Linked DNA regions of Stegostoma tigrinum. The protein of the gene in region 2 purifies or fractionates together with the protein of the main gene of each other region. This does not show direct contact. Links are inferred from orthologs where the notes say so. Each region holds a gene or a part of one and is shown on either strand. Other genes may lie near its edges.

Region 1 (7,917 bases), on a different chromosome or scaffold from region 2:
CAGTTGATATGGTGAGATGGACTTCCACACAACAGACATATGAGCAAAGTTTGATGGCACGGAATTAAAGGGTTAGTTGCAGCACAGACACAAAGTTAGCTGAGTGAGTGGCAGGAAACAGCAAGAGATCATGAATGGTTATATTTGGACTGAAGAATGTGGTTCCCAAAGGTCAGTATTAAGACCTCTGTTTTACTTAGTCTACATTAATGATTTAAGACTTCAGTACAATTTCAAAATGTGCACATAAAACAAAACTTGAGGGCTGCCAGGCCTGCTGAGATTCTCTAGCATATTCATGTTTGTTTATAAAGTATAGTTGTCTCGTCTCAACTAAAATAGAGTCCAATCATGGGCACCACACCTTAGCAAGGAAGTGATAATATTGGAGAGAGTGCAGAAAGATTTATAAAAATAGTTCCGGCAGGTGGAAACCTCAGCTGCATGGATAGGTTGCCAAATCTGGGCTGCCTCATAAGAGATTTAATAGAGATGTTCAAAGTCATGATAAGTCTGTGTAGAGAAGAGGGAGAAATTGTTCCCTGAGCAAAATAGTCAAAACCAATGAACACTAATATAAGTTGAACAAGTCAAAAAAGAACAAAAGTGACTCTTGGGAATTTTTTTTTACATAACGGATCATTGCGATGGGCAGATTCAATTGTGGCTTTCAAAAGAATTGATAAATGCTGAAGAGATGATCTTGCAAGACTGCAAGAAAAATAGTGTGACAGCTGATAACTCTTAAGTGAGCCAACATGGATAACAGCTGGCTGGCCTCCTTTATTGAAACCAGTCTTATAACTGTGTGTATCAGGTTTTGTATGAAGAACAGCACAAGAAGATCATGACTCTACACTTCAGCACAGTCCCATATTTAGCAGCCAATGATAACAAACAACTGCCTAAACAAAGAACCACAGTAGGTCTCTAACTCTCTTCTAAATTCCCTTGAAAGTGTTGAATTGGGGAAAGCTAATTACAACAGAATTAGCGAGGAACTGGAGAAATTAGATTGGAGGTAGTTATTGAGGATAAATCCATATCTGACACATGGGAGTCTTTTAAAGGCCAGTTGATCATTTTGGAAGGATGTGGAGGCTTTCAAGATGACTTTGAGAAGATGTTTATGGAATGTTGCCTGGCTTGGAGCATATTAGCTAACAGGAGAGGTCAGATAATCTTGGATTATTTTTACTAAAATATTTGACGCTGGAGGGGTAACCAGTAGAAGTATACAAGATTATGACAGGCAGGGATAGTAGGAGTCTTTTTCCAAGGATAGAAATGTCATATACTAGGGGCATGGTGAGAGGTGCAAGTTTAAAGAGGACGTGTGAAGCACGTTTTTTACAAGAGGGTGTTAGGTGCCTGGTACATACTATCAGTGGAGGAGGTAGAAGCAGACACAACAGCAATGTTTAAGAGGCATTTAGACAGATACATCAACAGGCAGGTAATAGAGGGATATGGACTATGTGGAGGTAGAGGAAATTAGTTTAGAATGGCATCATTGTACGTTCTTACATACACATATTCTAGTTGCCAATTATGGAGAGAAATCTGAAGGCAATTCAGATGTTCTTCTCACCGAATACAGAGGAATGCCATTGGATCTATTCTACCCGCAACCTATCATCCCATACATCTGCCTTTGGTTCAATATCCATTAAGATTTCTAGTTAACAGTAATCTATCCAAGTCTTAAATGTAACAACTGAGCTAGTTTCAATGATCATTTCCAGAAGATTCCAAACTTTTATCACCTCCTGCACATAGAAACATTTTCTAATTTTAATCCTGAATGATCTGGCTGTTTTTTAAGACTGTGCTGCTAGTTGGTAGTCCTAATGCTGTTGGTCCTACAGTCCCCAACCAGTGGAAATATTTTCACTGTATCTACTTTAAGATCATGAAAACTTTGATCAAATTCCTATTTCTAAATTCCAGGCAACACAGCCCTACCTTACAAAGAGAGTATGCAACTTTCTTTAAAAGGACTGGGCACAGATGTTCACATTTTGGGAATGTTCATTCTCAACAGTTTAAGTTAGGTATTTACATTAAAGTGCAACAATTTCTTTTTTATCTTTTAAAATTAAATCTTTACATTTGAATTACCCAGTTTTCTTTCCTAAAAGAGACAAGCATTCCATACTTTAGGATAAGAAATGGCTGGTCCTCTCTTCATGAGCAGCACAAATTCCTCCAGCGATGGCCTCCTCAAGATAAACTTAAAGCCAGTGGAGGTCCTGAAGACTTGGCCGGGGAGATGTCCTAGGATCTCCTGGTGGGACAGCATGCCCCACTGATTGTGCAACTTCCCATCCTTCACCAAGTTGAACATCTTTTGCAGCTCCAAGCAGCGTCTCCTGCGGAACTCCACCAGCACTACATCCCCAGGTTTAAAGGGCACTTCTCTGTGTGGAGGGTTCGGTTGGCAAGCACTGTCCACCTGACCAGGGACCTCCTCCTGGGGTAGATGCCAGCTGCACTCTGATGCTGCCTGCCATCCTGTGGGTGCAGAGGGCATGGATGCTGCTGTGTAATCTTTTGGGCCTGGCTCCTGGTTTATCTGCTGCAGGTCCATTACCTCCTGGGACAGCATCTCCTGTGGGATCAGGCTGCTGACCCGTTCCAGCGGCGATAGGGAACGTCTCCTCGGGAGCTGAGCCGTTCTTCCTGTCCATGTCCAGGCTGGCCCACACTGCCCAGCTCCCAGCTCCCTTCCTGGTTCTGATCCATCTTTTTCCCCTTCATCTCCAGCCCCTGAGCTGGACACAAGCGACACAAGGTTCCTATTGAAGGGCAGCCGGGCACCGGTGCATGGAGAAGAGTAACTGCATTTAGCTCCAAACTGCACCTGAAAGCAATGGGCTGCTTTGCACATTGTTCTCACTGGACGCAGCATTTTCTCCCCGCAGTGAAATCCGTGCTGTTGTCTATTACTTTGCAGCCCGGAGCATTTGCACATTGCCAGCCAGATTCCTCACTCTGCACTGACTTTGCGTTTACAAGCAGGAAGCAGACGCTTCAAAGCTCCTCCTCGGCGCCACATCATCTTAAAGCGACAAGCTTCATCCTGTCAGTGGGGAACTGCAGATGCTGGAGAATCCAAGATAATAAAATGTGAGGCTGGATGAACACAGCAGGCCCAGCAGCATCTCAGGAGCACAAAAGCTGACGTTTCGGGCCTAGACCCTTCATCATCTCTGAGATGCTGCTGGGCCTGCTGTGTTCATCCAGCCTCACATTTCATTATCTAAGCTTCATCCTATCTATGTAGGAGGGAGACACGTGGAATTTAGTTAATCGTAGCCACGCTTTAAGTATTTGAAACAAAAACATAAATGCTGGAGATTACAGGGATGGTACTTGGATGCTGCCTAATTCGCTGTGATCTCCAGCCTTCGTTGTTTTCAGCAGCTGCGGTGATTTGTTACCGCGCTTTAAATGGTTGGATGGCATAAGCAGTGAGCCCCAAATTTTCTCATCTGTATCACATTTGAAATAAGTCTTATTTAGTGACTCTATATAGAACCCCTACAGTGTGGAAGCAGGCCATTTGGCCCATCAAGTTCACACTGACCCTCTTACAAGAATCCCACCAAGACCATTCCCCTACCTTATTCCTCTAACCCCACATTTACCATTGCTAACTCACCTAGTTTGCACACCTTTGGAGTTCTGAAGAAGGGTCATTCTGCACCAAAATGTTAACTGTTTCTCTCAGGTGCTGCTGAGTTTTGCCAGCATTTTCTGCTTGCTTCAGGTTTCACAACATTTTGTTTTTATTTGAATCTTCTGTACTATATGATTGCAAATCCCAGGATCTGAGCACTTCATAAAGTCCCTACAATGTGGAAGCTGGATCTTTGGCCCGTTGAATCCACATCACTTCCCTGAAGAGCATCCCAACCAGGCCCCTGCCCTATCCTTCATTTTCCTCCTATGGCTAATCCACCTAGCTCACTCATCCCTGGACACTATGGACAATTTAGCATGGCCAATCCACCTACCCTACACATCTTTGGACTGTGGAAGGAACCCACACAGACACAGGGAGAGTTTACAACTCTACACAGATAGTCACCTGAGGCTGGAATCAAACCTGAGGCAGCAATGCTAACCACTAAGCCACTGCGCCACTTAATTTAAGGCAGTGCTGAATTAGGAGTGTATAGTGTCATGTAAGGGGTTAAGTCTGACACTGTGATTTGCTCATAAGGAAGTTATACAATGTCACATAATCGTGCTTCCTGCTAACCTCCTGAAAATATGAAGTACAGTAAGATGTTTCTTAAATACAATGTAGTTTTCCTTTTCTCAGCAAACATAAACATACTTTAGCAGCATAACAAAACCAAGAATATTATATCAAGCATTGCTCGAGATGCAGTATGTCTTTCGTGGTATTAAACCAGAGACCATCTGCCTGATCAACTGGATGTAAGACATCTCATTGTGCTTTTCAAGACGGGTGGGGGAGTTCAACAGCATCTTAACCAATAGTCAACCCTCAACCAGTGGCACCAATACAGGAAAACTACTCGATTGTCTCAATGGGCCATTTTTTGACAACTTTTGTCGGTATTGTTTTAAATTAATTAATTGGCTGTAAAGTACTGTAAAGTCCTAAGGGTGCACCCATATGACGCACTGGTGTAGAAGTTTTCTTTCAGAGCACAACCATACCCAATTTCTTAGTTACATTCCCAAAAAGACCGATAACTTTCAAAAAGATATTTGAATTCCCAGTGACTTATTAAAGGAATTATAGGACAAAACACCAAGTTTTAAGACTTTTACAATCTAAAATCAATATTGATTAAATATTTCTTGGCAGGAAACTGACAGTCTAAACTGTCAGTTAATTTTTATTAATTTTGTAACACATCAGTAACCCTATGTAATTCTCTCCCTGCACATATTTGGTGTTTACAGGATCAAGGCTTGCTTCTCTCTGTTTCAATAATATCAAAATTTATTTATTTTAGTTTTTCCAAGTATGTCCTCAACAATGTCTTTTGGGAGTCAAGTTCTCCACAGTTATAGCCCTGCTATAATAATTAACTATGATATATAAATAGCATTTACTGAAACCATATGCTAGCAGAATTATTATGTGTAGTTGCAACTTGTGTGTACCACCTGCAACTCTGGAAATAACTAATCATCCCTTCTTGCAAGGGGGCCAGGGTGGAGTTGAAGCATGTAAAAATAGGGAAGTCTAATCACAACTGCACAGGGCATTGGTAAGACAGCCCCTCGAGTTCTGTGTACAGTTTTGATCTCTTTATTTAAGGAGGGATAAGCTTGCATTAGAAGTAATTCAGAGAAAGGTCACCGGGTTGATTCCTGGGATGAAAATAGTGTCTTTTAACGAAAGAAAAAACAGTTTGGGCCTGTACAAATTGATGTTTAGTAGAATGTGATGCGATCTGACTGAAGTATAGAAAATTTTGAGGAGGCTTGATGCTGATCGTCCTTCAGGATGGATCTTCAACTGGTGGACAAAGTTTAAAATTAAGGCACCTCCTATTTAAAACAGAGATGAGGAGGAATTTCTTCCATGTAAAGCCGAGAGCTGCTGTATTTTGGAATTCTGTTGCCCAGAGAGCAGTGATGGTTGAGTACTTGAATATATTAAAGACTGAGCTTGAAGACTTTTGACCTATAAGGGAGTATATAGTTATATGGGGTGGCAGGAAACTAGAGTTAAGGTCACAAGCAGATCAGCCACAATCAGTACGATTGGCTGGGCAATTTCAAAGAGCAAAATAGCTTACTCTTCCTCCTATTTCCGTAGCTCCTTGTCACATTCTCAGGATATCCTAAAATATGTTTCAATCAATTTTTGAAGTGCAACCATTATTAGGCACTGCACAATCCTACATTATCAAATGAATATTGTATTCATTCATTTAATGCCATTCACAAACTCAGGACATTGTACAATTGCTTATTTACATTGATTAACCTGCATCAGTAACCAGACAAACATTGTACAAAAACAAAGTTGCTGGAAAAGCTCAGCAGGTGCGGCTGAGTTTAACATTCTTATCCTTATTTTCAATACCTCCATTATGCCTATTCCGATCTTTGTCATCAGCTCCAGCCTTACAACCTTCCAAGATATCTATGTTCCTCTAATTCTTGCCTCTTGAGCATCACAGATTTTAACCACTCCCTCATGCCTTCAACTGTCTTGACCCTAAACTCTAGAATTTCATCCCTAAACTTTTATTTCCCTAACTTGCTTCTTAGGTTGTTTCTTAAAATTTATCTTGCTCACCAAACTTTTGGATCACCTGTCTTAATTTCTGTTTATAAGGCTTGTACTCAAATTTTGTTCTCTAACTCTCTGAGAAGCACTTGAAGGGGGTGGGTGGCATGGTGGCTCAGCGGTTAGCACTGCTGCATCACAGCACCAGGTAACCCAGGTTTACATCCACCCTCAGGTCCTGTGTGGAATTTGCATATTCTCCCTGTGTCTGTGAAGGTTTCCTCTAGGTACTCCAGCTTCCTCCCACAGTTCAAAGATGAGCAGGCTAGGTGGATGCTAAATTGCCCATAGTGTTTAGAGGTGACTAGATGAGGTGGGTCAAAGGGGGATGCATCTGGGTGAGATGCTCTGAGGATCAGCGTGGACGTGTTGAGCTGAAGGGCCATGTTGGTAAATTGTAGGGATACTATGAAAAATATCATACTATGTTAAAGTCTCTACATAAAAGTAGGGGATTGCTTTTGGTTGTCTGAAAGCATGTTACAGCTAATGAACAACTTTAGAAATAAAGTCACCAAGAAATGTAGGAAACAACTAGGTGATTGGCTTTGAGAGGTATTGGTTGAAATTGAATTATTAGCAAGAACATCAGAAGAACTCTTGCTTAAAAGGTAATGACATCTTTTGCATGTGGTTGAAAGCTACCTCATTTTCCTCCTAATATTTTAGCTGAACAATTAGCTTGAAAAATGTAAAATCCCTTGCTATTTCCTGAATTGGTGAGTTATAGCATTCTTGTCCCTGAATCAGACCTATTCTGATGGTTGAGAACAAATATTCAAGACTGACAGTCTTGTGGAGTGTCACACTATACTTATGAATGAATTATAAAACTAAGATACTGTCTGACTCTTAAGCAGATGTAAAAGATGCTTTTGAAGAAAAGCAGGAAGCTATCTTTAAATCTAGCCAATATTTGTCACTCAATCAATCAGCATCACAAAAACAGACTAGCTATTACTTATTACATTGCTGTTAGTAAGTAAGCATCTGTTCCCTTTTGTTGAAGAGTCAGAACAATGGGACACATTTTTTAAGTGAACCGCAGGAGGGTTAGAGGGGATTTGAAGAATATTTTGGGTGGCACAGTGGCTCAGTGGTTAGCACTGCAGCCCCATAGCACCAGCGACCCGCGTTTGATTCCAATCTCGGGTGACCGTCTGTGTGGAGTTTGCACATTCTCCCCGTGTCTGTGTGGGTTTGCTCCAGTTTCCTCCCACAGTCCAAAGATGTGCAGGCTAGGTGGATCAGCCATGCTAAATTGCCCGTAGTGTTCGGGGTGTGTGGGTTATAAGGGGATGGGTCTGGGTGGGATGCTTCAAGGGGCAGTGTGGACTTGTTGGGCTGAAGGGCCTGTTTCCTCACTTGTAGGGAATCTAATTTTTTTTTGTCTAGAGGTTGCTAGGTGTGGGAAATGCACTGCCTAGGAAGATAGTAGATGTGAGTAAGCTCACAGCCTTTAAAAAGTACTTCGATGAAAACTTGAAGTGTCATAACATTCAAGGCTATGGACCTGATGCAGGAAAGTGGGACTGATGTAGGTGGTTTTGGCATTGACTTGATGAGCCAAAGGGCTTCATCTGTATGTGTGATTCTAAAGTCTGACTCTCTCATGACAGAGACAGAACTGA
Region 2 (7,829 bases):
AGTGTAACAACAGCCTTCCAGAATGCAGCGGCAGAAATGGGTATTTCGTGCTGAGATGAAAGGGTACAGTGTTAGAACTGGGTGTTTAGAGCAAGGATAAGGGACAAGTACCCAATCTGGTTGTTGGGCTCAGGAGAATCAAGCTCATGGAGGGACTTTATCAGAAAAAAAAGTTCCTTAAATTCAGATATAGATGAAAAGGGAGCAATGAAGGTCGGTAAGAAGACCAACAGGAAAGCAGAACCTGGAACACAGTTAACATATATGAACTTCACTTTCAGGAACACAAACTACCATATTTGTATAGTAAATATATCTCTCCTGCGGCTTTTAAAATCAGAATAAACTGATTAATTTATAAAAAATGAACTTTTACCAGCCTATGTTTTGAACTCTCTAAATCAAATTATACTGCAATCATATTCTTACGTCATACTTCCACAAAGTCAATGTCACACTGCTTTAAAACAGCAGTGTTGCAGAAAAATTTGGCAGCTAATTTACACAGCTAGATCCCTTAATTAGCAATGAAATGATGCACCATACCATTGTTTACAATACTGGTTGATGCATAATCGATGGTCAGGAGATCTGGCAAAGTGCCTAGTCTTCCTTGAAGTAGCATGGGATCTGTAACAATCATTTGAGAGAACAAACAGGGTCTTGACTTCTTGTCACATCCAAAACAGAGCAGGGCACAAGCACTAATCCAACAACCAAGATTACCTGCTTAGGTCTTTGGAATGGCGCTGAACACACACATCTATGATTTAGGTGAGTGTTATGCAATGACTAAATCTGGCACAATCACATGTATAAAATACAAGTCAGAAATCAAAATACCAAAGTACCTGAACAGCATACAGAGCCTGGAGCAGATTTTTACTGGACTTATTTGGATATTAGTTGGAAAGCTCAAAGAATTCAATCAACAATACACTTCTTTTTCCTATATAGATCTTGTCACAAAAACTGAACTTTTGCCCCAGTATTTCAACTCTACAGGCTTTAAAATACCACATGACTAAACAACTAAATTCCAATCAGACCAACTGATATTTTATGGTGAAGTCAAAGTATCAGTTTGGTACAGAATATTTTTCTGAAGTCTAAGTATTGAAAACAAAGCGATGTCAAAGATATTTTTGGAAGGATCCCTTTACTGAGATCAACAGAAACTCGTTGAAGATCCAGGCCTAAATCTGCATTGGATGATAAAAAGTTTAACCCCAAAACGTAATTAGGGGCAACTGACATTTCATTTATTGAGGATGACACTGGCAATACAATCTAAATAAAACTCTTTTTACTTGACCAAAATAACATACAACTTAGTCTACATTGTGTTCTCAAAATATTCATCAAGCCACTCACATAATTGTCATTAATTTGTTCACCGATGTTCTGGACTGCTGTTAGATGTACCAGTTTAGTAACACACTGCAAATTAGTGCAATGCCACAATTTGATATGTTTAACATTGGGCATTGGACTGGACACCTGCACATTTCAGGTTAAAGTTTTGTTTTATTCGGCACAAAATTTAACAACTGCAGTTTTTAGAATTAAAAATCTCGCGCTTTGCGGCTAGAAAAGCAGTTCAAGAAGAATGGTACTACTCAGATCTGAAAGTTTAATGTCTATCCACTCTTTGCATAGAAAGAACATTTTTAAATAAATAACGTTTTTTCAGAATATTTGCTGTGTTTGGCTTTGCATTGCATGTGTTACAGTCCAACATGTTTTGTTGGCAGGCACCATCCGAATCACAATGTTGCAAAAGAACAATCTTCTTTTACTTGTATGTGACAAAAGCAAAGGAAAATAAAAGGAAACCACACTGTCTAACTAAAGACTGGGTATCAATGCTGACATGAATTGTGCATCATGTACTGGCTAAACAAACGCTACATGCCTTAACAAAATTTCTCCAGATCACTGAAATAGCACAACTGTCATACACAGATGAAAATGACATGCTTAACGTTTCTAATTCCTGCTAAATTGCTGTGCCCTGTGGCTGACACTCGGATATGCAACATATACTTTAACACGTTCAGCGCAGTAACACTGTCAAAAAGAGTCCATCTTCCTCTCTCAGCTCCTTATGTTAATAACACTGTTTTAAGAAGAGACCGCCAACCAAATTATAACAACGTCTTAAATAAGTGTCAGGCCGCTGGGGGGGGGGGGGGTGAGAACATAGAATTAAGTGGCTGATGAATTAGAACGAAAGTCAAGACAAACCTCTCCCCGATTTCTCTTCTATCTCTCTCCCTCCCTCTGTCACCCAGGCCGCTCTCGTTGCTGAGAAGCCGCTGCCGCCGCTTGGGTTTACTGTCCCCTCCTTTCTGGGCGAGGGGCGGTGTTACGGGGAAGGGAGGGGAGAGGAATGAAGGAGATGGTGTGAAAGAAAATAATAAATAAATCTCAAGTGTGAGAATTCAGAATCGCCTCAACCCCCGCCTCCCCCGAGCTGCCTGCTGTCCCCTCGATGTGAGTGACTCTTCAGGATCAAACTGTGCCTGTGACCAGCCCCCTCCCCACCTTTCCTCCTCTCACTCGGTCTTTTCCCCCTCTCTTTTTTTATTTCACAAAATGGCGCGCACTACAAACCTGCGCAACAGCAAACACCTCCTCGGCGCCGCCTTTTTTCAAACCCGCTTTACACCTCCTTGCGCCGCTCGCCAGACCGACTTCTCCGGCCGCACCGACCATTCAACTTTCTCCTCCCGCTCTCCGAATCTCCCGATCTCGCCTTCGAGGGAGGAGGGAAAAAAAATCAGAACGGAGGAGGAGGAGGTTAGGGAAGGTGGTGGTAAGGAGGGAGTGGGTGAGTGAGGGATAAAGAGGGGCTAAGGTGAGAAAGGTAGAGTTGAGAGACAAAAAAAAATACCCCCTCCCCGCGGATAAAAAAAAATTTCCGAGGCGGGAAAGCCCTGAAAAAATTTTTTTCTCTCTCTTCTCTCTCCTCTTAACAACAAAATGGCGGCGGACGGAGCGCGTTGCTATGGGGACTGTCAATCACAGCGGGTGCCCCGGATGAGCCCTTGACGTCAGCAAGGGGAAAGGCGGGGCCAGGCGCCGTTGAGGATGTTGCCAGCCGCAATCCCCCGGATGCTGCACCGATTAATGGGGCCGAGCCTGTTGCGAAGGGAAACCGTCAATCACGCCCATCTCCTCCCTTCATCTAAACCCGAGGCCCAAATAACCGAGAACCGCAGAAACTCTTGTTGCCAAGCGAGTGGTCGCCATCTAGAACCTGATGGGGTTCCCTGTGTGTGTACTTTTCTTTGTAACACGCTTGCTGTATATGCAAGTATTACACAATTGAGGTTTCTTTCGTATCTTGTTCTGATTTTCTCGAGACGTCTTTTTGTTGTGTTGCTCCCTTTAACAGAATCATAGTCCTTAGATTAGATAGATTTTTTTTGCGAGAGTTGCCAAACTTTTCATCAAGGATCCAGACTCTCCTTCTTCCTCTCCTCGCCCATAAGAACCCAAAACACAACTCGAAACCTCCCTTCATTGCGTCCCTGAACACTGACCTATATTGCTCACTGATTATTTTGAGATTGGAGGGAGAAAAGGCTGTGCGTGTGTCTCTGTGATGTTTTATTTATGTTTCTTTTTGAATTGCGGATACCTGTTTCATTCGCACACCTTCCAAACAGCAGTAGAAGGCAAAAAGAGTTGTTTCGAATGAAGATGACCCACAAACACACTAAAGTACACAGACGCTGTGACAGAATGGGCTTGCCCCCTATTGAGCCCGTTTGCAGAGCCGCACGGTTACATAAACGATAGAGAAAAGCCCACAACTGAACTTGAACGCTCAAATAAATGTCACTGGAGGAGCAAAAATTTACTTGATATCCCCCGACCGCTGCAATCAAAACCGGAAAAGCCGCAGCGAATAATGGTTTAGGACATGCATTGACATTTGCGGCTAAAAGTATCTTCTCATTGACTTTTTTTTATTCTGGCCAGAAGGGTGATACGGTGCTTTGATTCTTCTAACAGCACTTGCAGCGACGAAAGAACGGTTTTACAGACATCGTGTGACAAGCGGCTCTTCGCTTCATTTCTCATCAACTAGCGTGGCATACAGTTTTAACGAGTTACATTCTGGCACATACTCTGTTGGTCTGGGATTGGTGGGGCGACGGTCTCAGGCGATAGTGAGTGGAAATGTAGCCTCGTATTTTTGAATGGTGACATTAATAAAACAACACGACTTCATGGTTAATTTATTTCGATTGCAATTTTGCATTTATACCCGTGGTTCTATTTATGGAACATCACTCCGTTAATATTTTTTGAGGAGACGAGAAAGGGTGTGTGAAGTAGATCGCCTCTTGATCAAAAGCGCACAGTGCGGTACCGAGTGAATGACGCATACCTGAATCGTCCCAGGTCAATGCCCATTTTCTGTTAGCTAGCCCCAGTTTGGGCAGCGATAAAAATCATCCTAATAATCCTCAATATCCCTTTCCCTACCTGAGTATGCCAGAGTTAGCAGGCATACTTACAGGCAAATAGATTACTGATACTTGCCACCCATGCTGTCATATTGACTTGAACGCTGGAAATTAATGTCGAAATGCCCCTTCCAGAAAGTCGACATGTCACAAGCAGGTATCATTTATCTTTGAGCTTCAGTGTAGCTTTGTATATATACTGAGACAACAAATTAATTGACATTTAGCAGGAGAATGAGTCTTGCTTCTCTCCACCTACATACAGTCACGACAGCGTGGAATCTGTCACATGAATGTTCTGAAGAGAATCTCAGGGGTATTCCTGTGAGTTAACCCCCCCCCCACAGGCCACTCGGGGGTGAGGCTGACTCGTCTTCCTAGCCTTGCGATGAACAGCTGAAGCACAGCGCTCCATTCGCAGCAAACTCGCGATTTTGACGCGGAGTGAATTCAAACAAAACTGAATTATGATCTGAATACATGCCGAAACGCGTGTCGACAGATCCAGTGTATTATCTGCGATGCCCAGACTACGTTTTATAAAAAAAATCTTTCAGTCACTTGGTATGCCAGTAAACCAGTGGAATGTCTTGCAGCTGAGATTAAAAAGAACAAGCTGTTCCTTCCCGTGGCCATTGATCCAACTCAGCTCCGAACAGACATTACATGTATTTCGCAAATTCCCAGAAGTACCTCGGATCGACCAGTTGAAGATGTGTGCAAAGCGTTCCTTTACAGCTTGTTAAAGCCTTCTTGCAAGTCGCAGATCACCTCATCTGGTTTAATGTTGTTCTCAGGTTAGATCTCTTAAGGATGCAGCTGTGTTTTTTACAAATAATTTAGCCAGTAATACTGTTTGCAGGGGGCTGTCGCCAAAATGGCATCTATTTTAGCCTTGCTAATTCTGAAATAAGATGCATTGCAGCAACTCAACACAGCTCCTTACATATCACCTCCCAAACTCACAATCTTTGGTCTTAATTGAAACTCACCACCAGTCACCTTAAGAAAGACAAGGGCAGCAGATGTTTGGGAAAGTCACCAACTGCATGTTCCTCTTCAAGCCACATACAGTCCTGCAGTGGAAGAAAATTGCTGTTCCTTCAGTGTCTCTGTTTATAATCCTGGAACTCACTCCCTAACAGGACAATGGTGTTCCTATACCCAAAGGACTTCAGCAAACCAGCATACAGCAAAGCACATATTCTCAAGGGCAATCAGAGATTGGCAATAAGTGCTGGTCCAACCAGTGAAGTCCACATCCCAAGAGCTAATGCTTTTTTTTAAAAGAAAACTTCCCCAGTCTATCTATTTTGATCCCTAAACAGCCTTTATGTGGCACTGAACACAGCCTCTGTAATGTGTGGCATTACCACCATGAATGAAGTAGATTTAAACCAGACCAAACCAAACTCAAAGCAAAGGATTCCTGGAGCACTGTGGGCCACCAGCAGCAGAAGAATTGTGTTCAACCACAGCCTCTAACACCATGGGCCAGCATACTACCCACTCTCACACAGAATAGAATGAGAATCTGTATAGAGTGGGGGCAAGCCATTTGGCCCACTGAGTCCACATTGACCCACCAAAGGGCATCCCACCCAAACACACACTTATCCCCATAACCCCACATTTCCAGCTAGCTTGCACATCCCTGGACACGATGGGCAATTTAGCATGACAAATCCACTTAACCTGCACATCTTTGGACAGTAGGATAAAACTGGAGTGCCCAGAGGAGACCCATGCAGACAAAGGGAGAATGCGAAACTCCACATAGACAGTTGCCTAAGGCTGAAGCTGAACCCGGATTCCTGCTGCTGTAAGGCAGCAGCACTAGCCATCGTGCTGCCCCTATTATCATTACCATTAAGCTGGGGAATCACCTCTAGTTTAATGACAATTTTAAGAGAACATGTGAGGAGCAGCACCATTAACACCTAAAGTAAGATATCAGTCTGGTGAAGCTACAATATAGGATGTCATCATTATTAAGTAGGAGATCTAAGTGATGCCATCATGATAAATCAGATCAAAATATTTATGTCTTGCAATATCCAGTTACAATTAATGGTGGATTGTTAATAGGATGAGGAGATACCATGAGCATCTCCATTCTTGTTAATGATGGAGTACAGGACATGAATCTGAGAGATAAGGCTGAGAATTTTACCACCATCTTCAACCAAAAGTAACGAATGGGTGAACCAGTGTTCTCTCTGCTTGGTATCCCCGACATCATAGAAACCAGTCTTGATCAATTTACTCTACTCCCCATAATATCAAGAAACAATCCATTGTTTGTATTCTATAAGGGCTATGGAACTAACAATGTCTTGTGCTCCAGCACTGGCATTTATATAATGAAGTGGAAAGTTGCCAAGGTACATTCTTTTCACTAAAAAGCAAGACACCTACAACCCAGCATACCATCCTGTTGTCCTCCACCTGATCATCAGCAAGGTGATGAAAGGGGATGATACTCACCAGTGACCTGTTTACTGTTACTGAGGAGTTGGCCAGAATCACTCAGCTCCAGACATCAGCATATCCTTGGTTGGATAATCAACAAATGGACTGAATTGTGGAAGTGAAATGTAAGTAGCTGCCTTTGACAACACAAGGCAGTATTTGACTAAGTGGGGCCTCAAGTAGGAAGTTAAATCAATGGGAATAGGGAGGAAAACTCCACGCTGGTGGGATCACATCTCACACATAAGGTTATTTTGATTATCCTTGGTCAGATCTAATAGGTATTTTCTAATCAATCTGTTCATAAATGTTATTAAACACCTCTGGAGTAGGTAGGACTTTAACCCATTCTCTTGCCTTTGAAGTAGGGACACCATCACTACACCATAAGAGCTCCAATTTTCTCATGTCCTAAGTTTAACCATCTTCAGCCGATTCATCTTGAGATTCCTTCCAAAATAAAGCCAAAACTGGATATATTCACTGATGATTGCAATTCAATTAAGCAGTCGCTGTTTGCATGCAAACTGACTTGACACATAATTCTGGCTTGAGTTTATAAATGACAAATAATATTAATGCCAGACAAATGGCAGAAAATGACTATCTCCTCCTAATATTCAATTACATTATCATAAGTAAATTCTCAAGTCTCAAAATCCTGGGTGTCACCATTGATCAGAAAACTTAACAGACTAGACACACAAATGCTGAGACGACAGCAGCTGTTCAGAGGCTAGTAATTCTGTCGTGAGAAACACACTGCCTGACTCACCAAACCTCTCCACCACCTACAAGGTGCAAGTCAAGAGTGTTACGGAATATTTGCCACAGAGCCAGATAACTGGAGTGTTAATTGTATCAATACAGTTAAAC

The links. The genes of interacting proteins can lie anywhere in the genome.
Region 1: the proteins of dyrk1aa (region 2) and trmt61b purify together in Homo sapiens (affinity purification with mass spectrometry, with the first as the bait; 3 studies listed by BioGRID). This does not show direct contact. The link is inferred for Stegostoma tigrinum from reciprocal best matches to the Homo sapiens genes DYRK1A and TRMT61B.

Annotation. Positions count from the first base shown.
Region 1 is NC_081357.1:18,596,714-18,604,630, forward strand, and holds the start of trmt61b (tRNA (adenine(58)-N(1))-methyltransferase, mitochondrial), read right to left. Parts: upstream 3,007-7,917; 5' UTR 2,975-3,006; coding exon 2,159-2,974; intron 1-2,158.
Region 2 is NC_081365.1:17,522,393-17,530,221, reverse strand, and holds the start of dyrk1aa (dual specificity tyrosine-phosphorylation-regulated kinase 1A), read right to left. Parts: upstream 3,012-7,829; 5' UTR 2,617-3,011; intron 2,424-2,616; exon of another isoform or gene 2,248-2,423; intron 1-2,247. UniProt on the Homo sapiens protein: Dual-specificity kinase which possesses both serine/threonine and tyrosine kinase activities. Exhibits a substrate preference for proline at position P+1 and arginine at position P-3.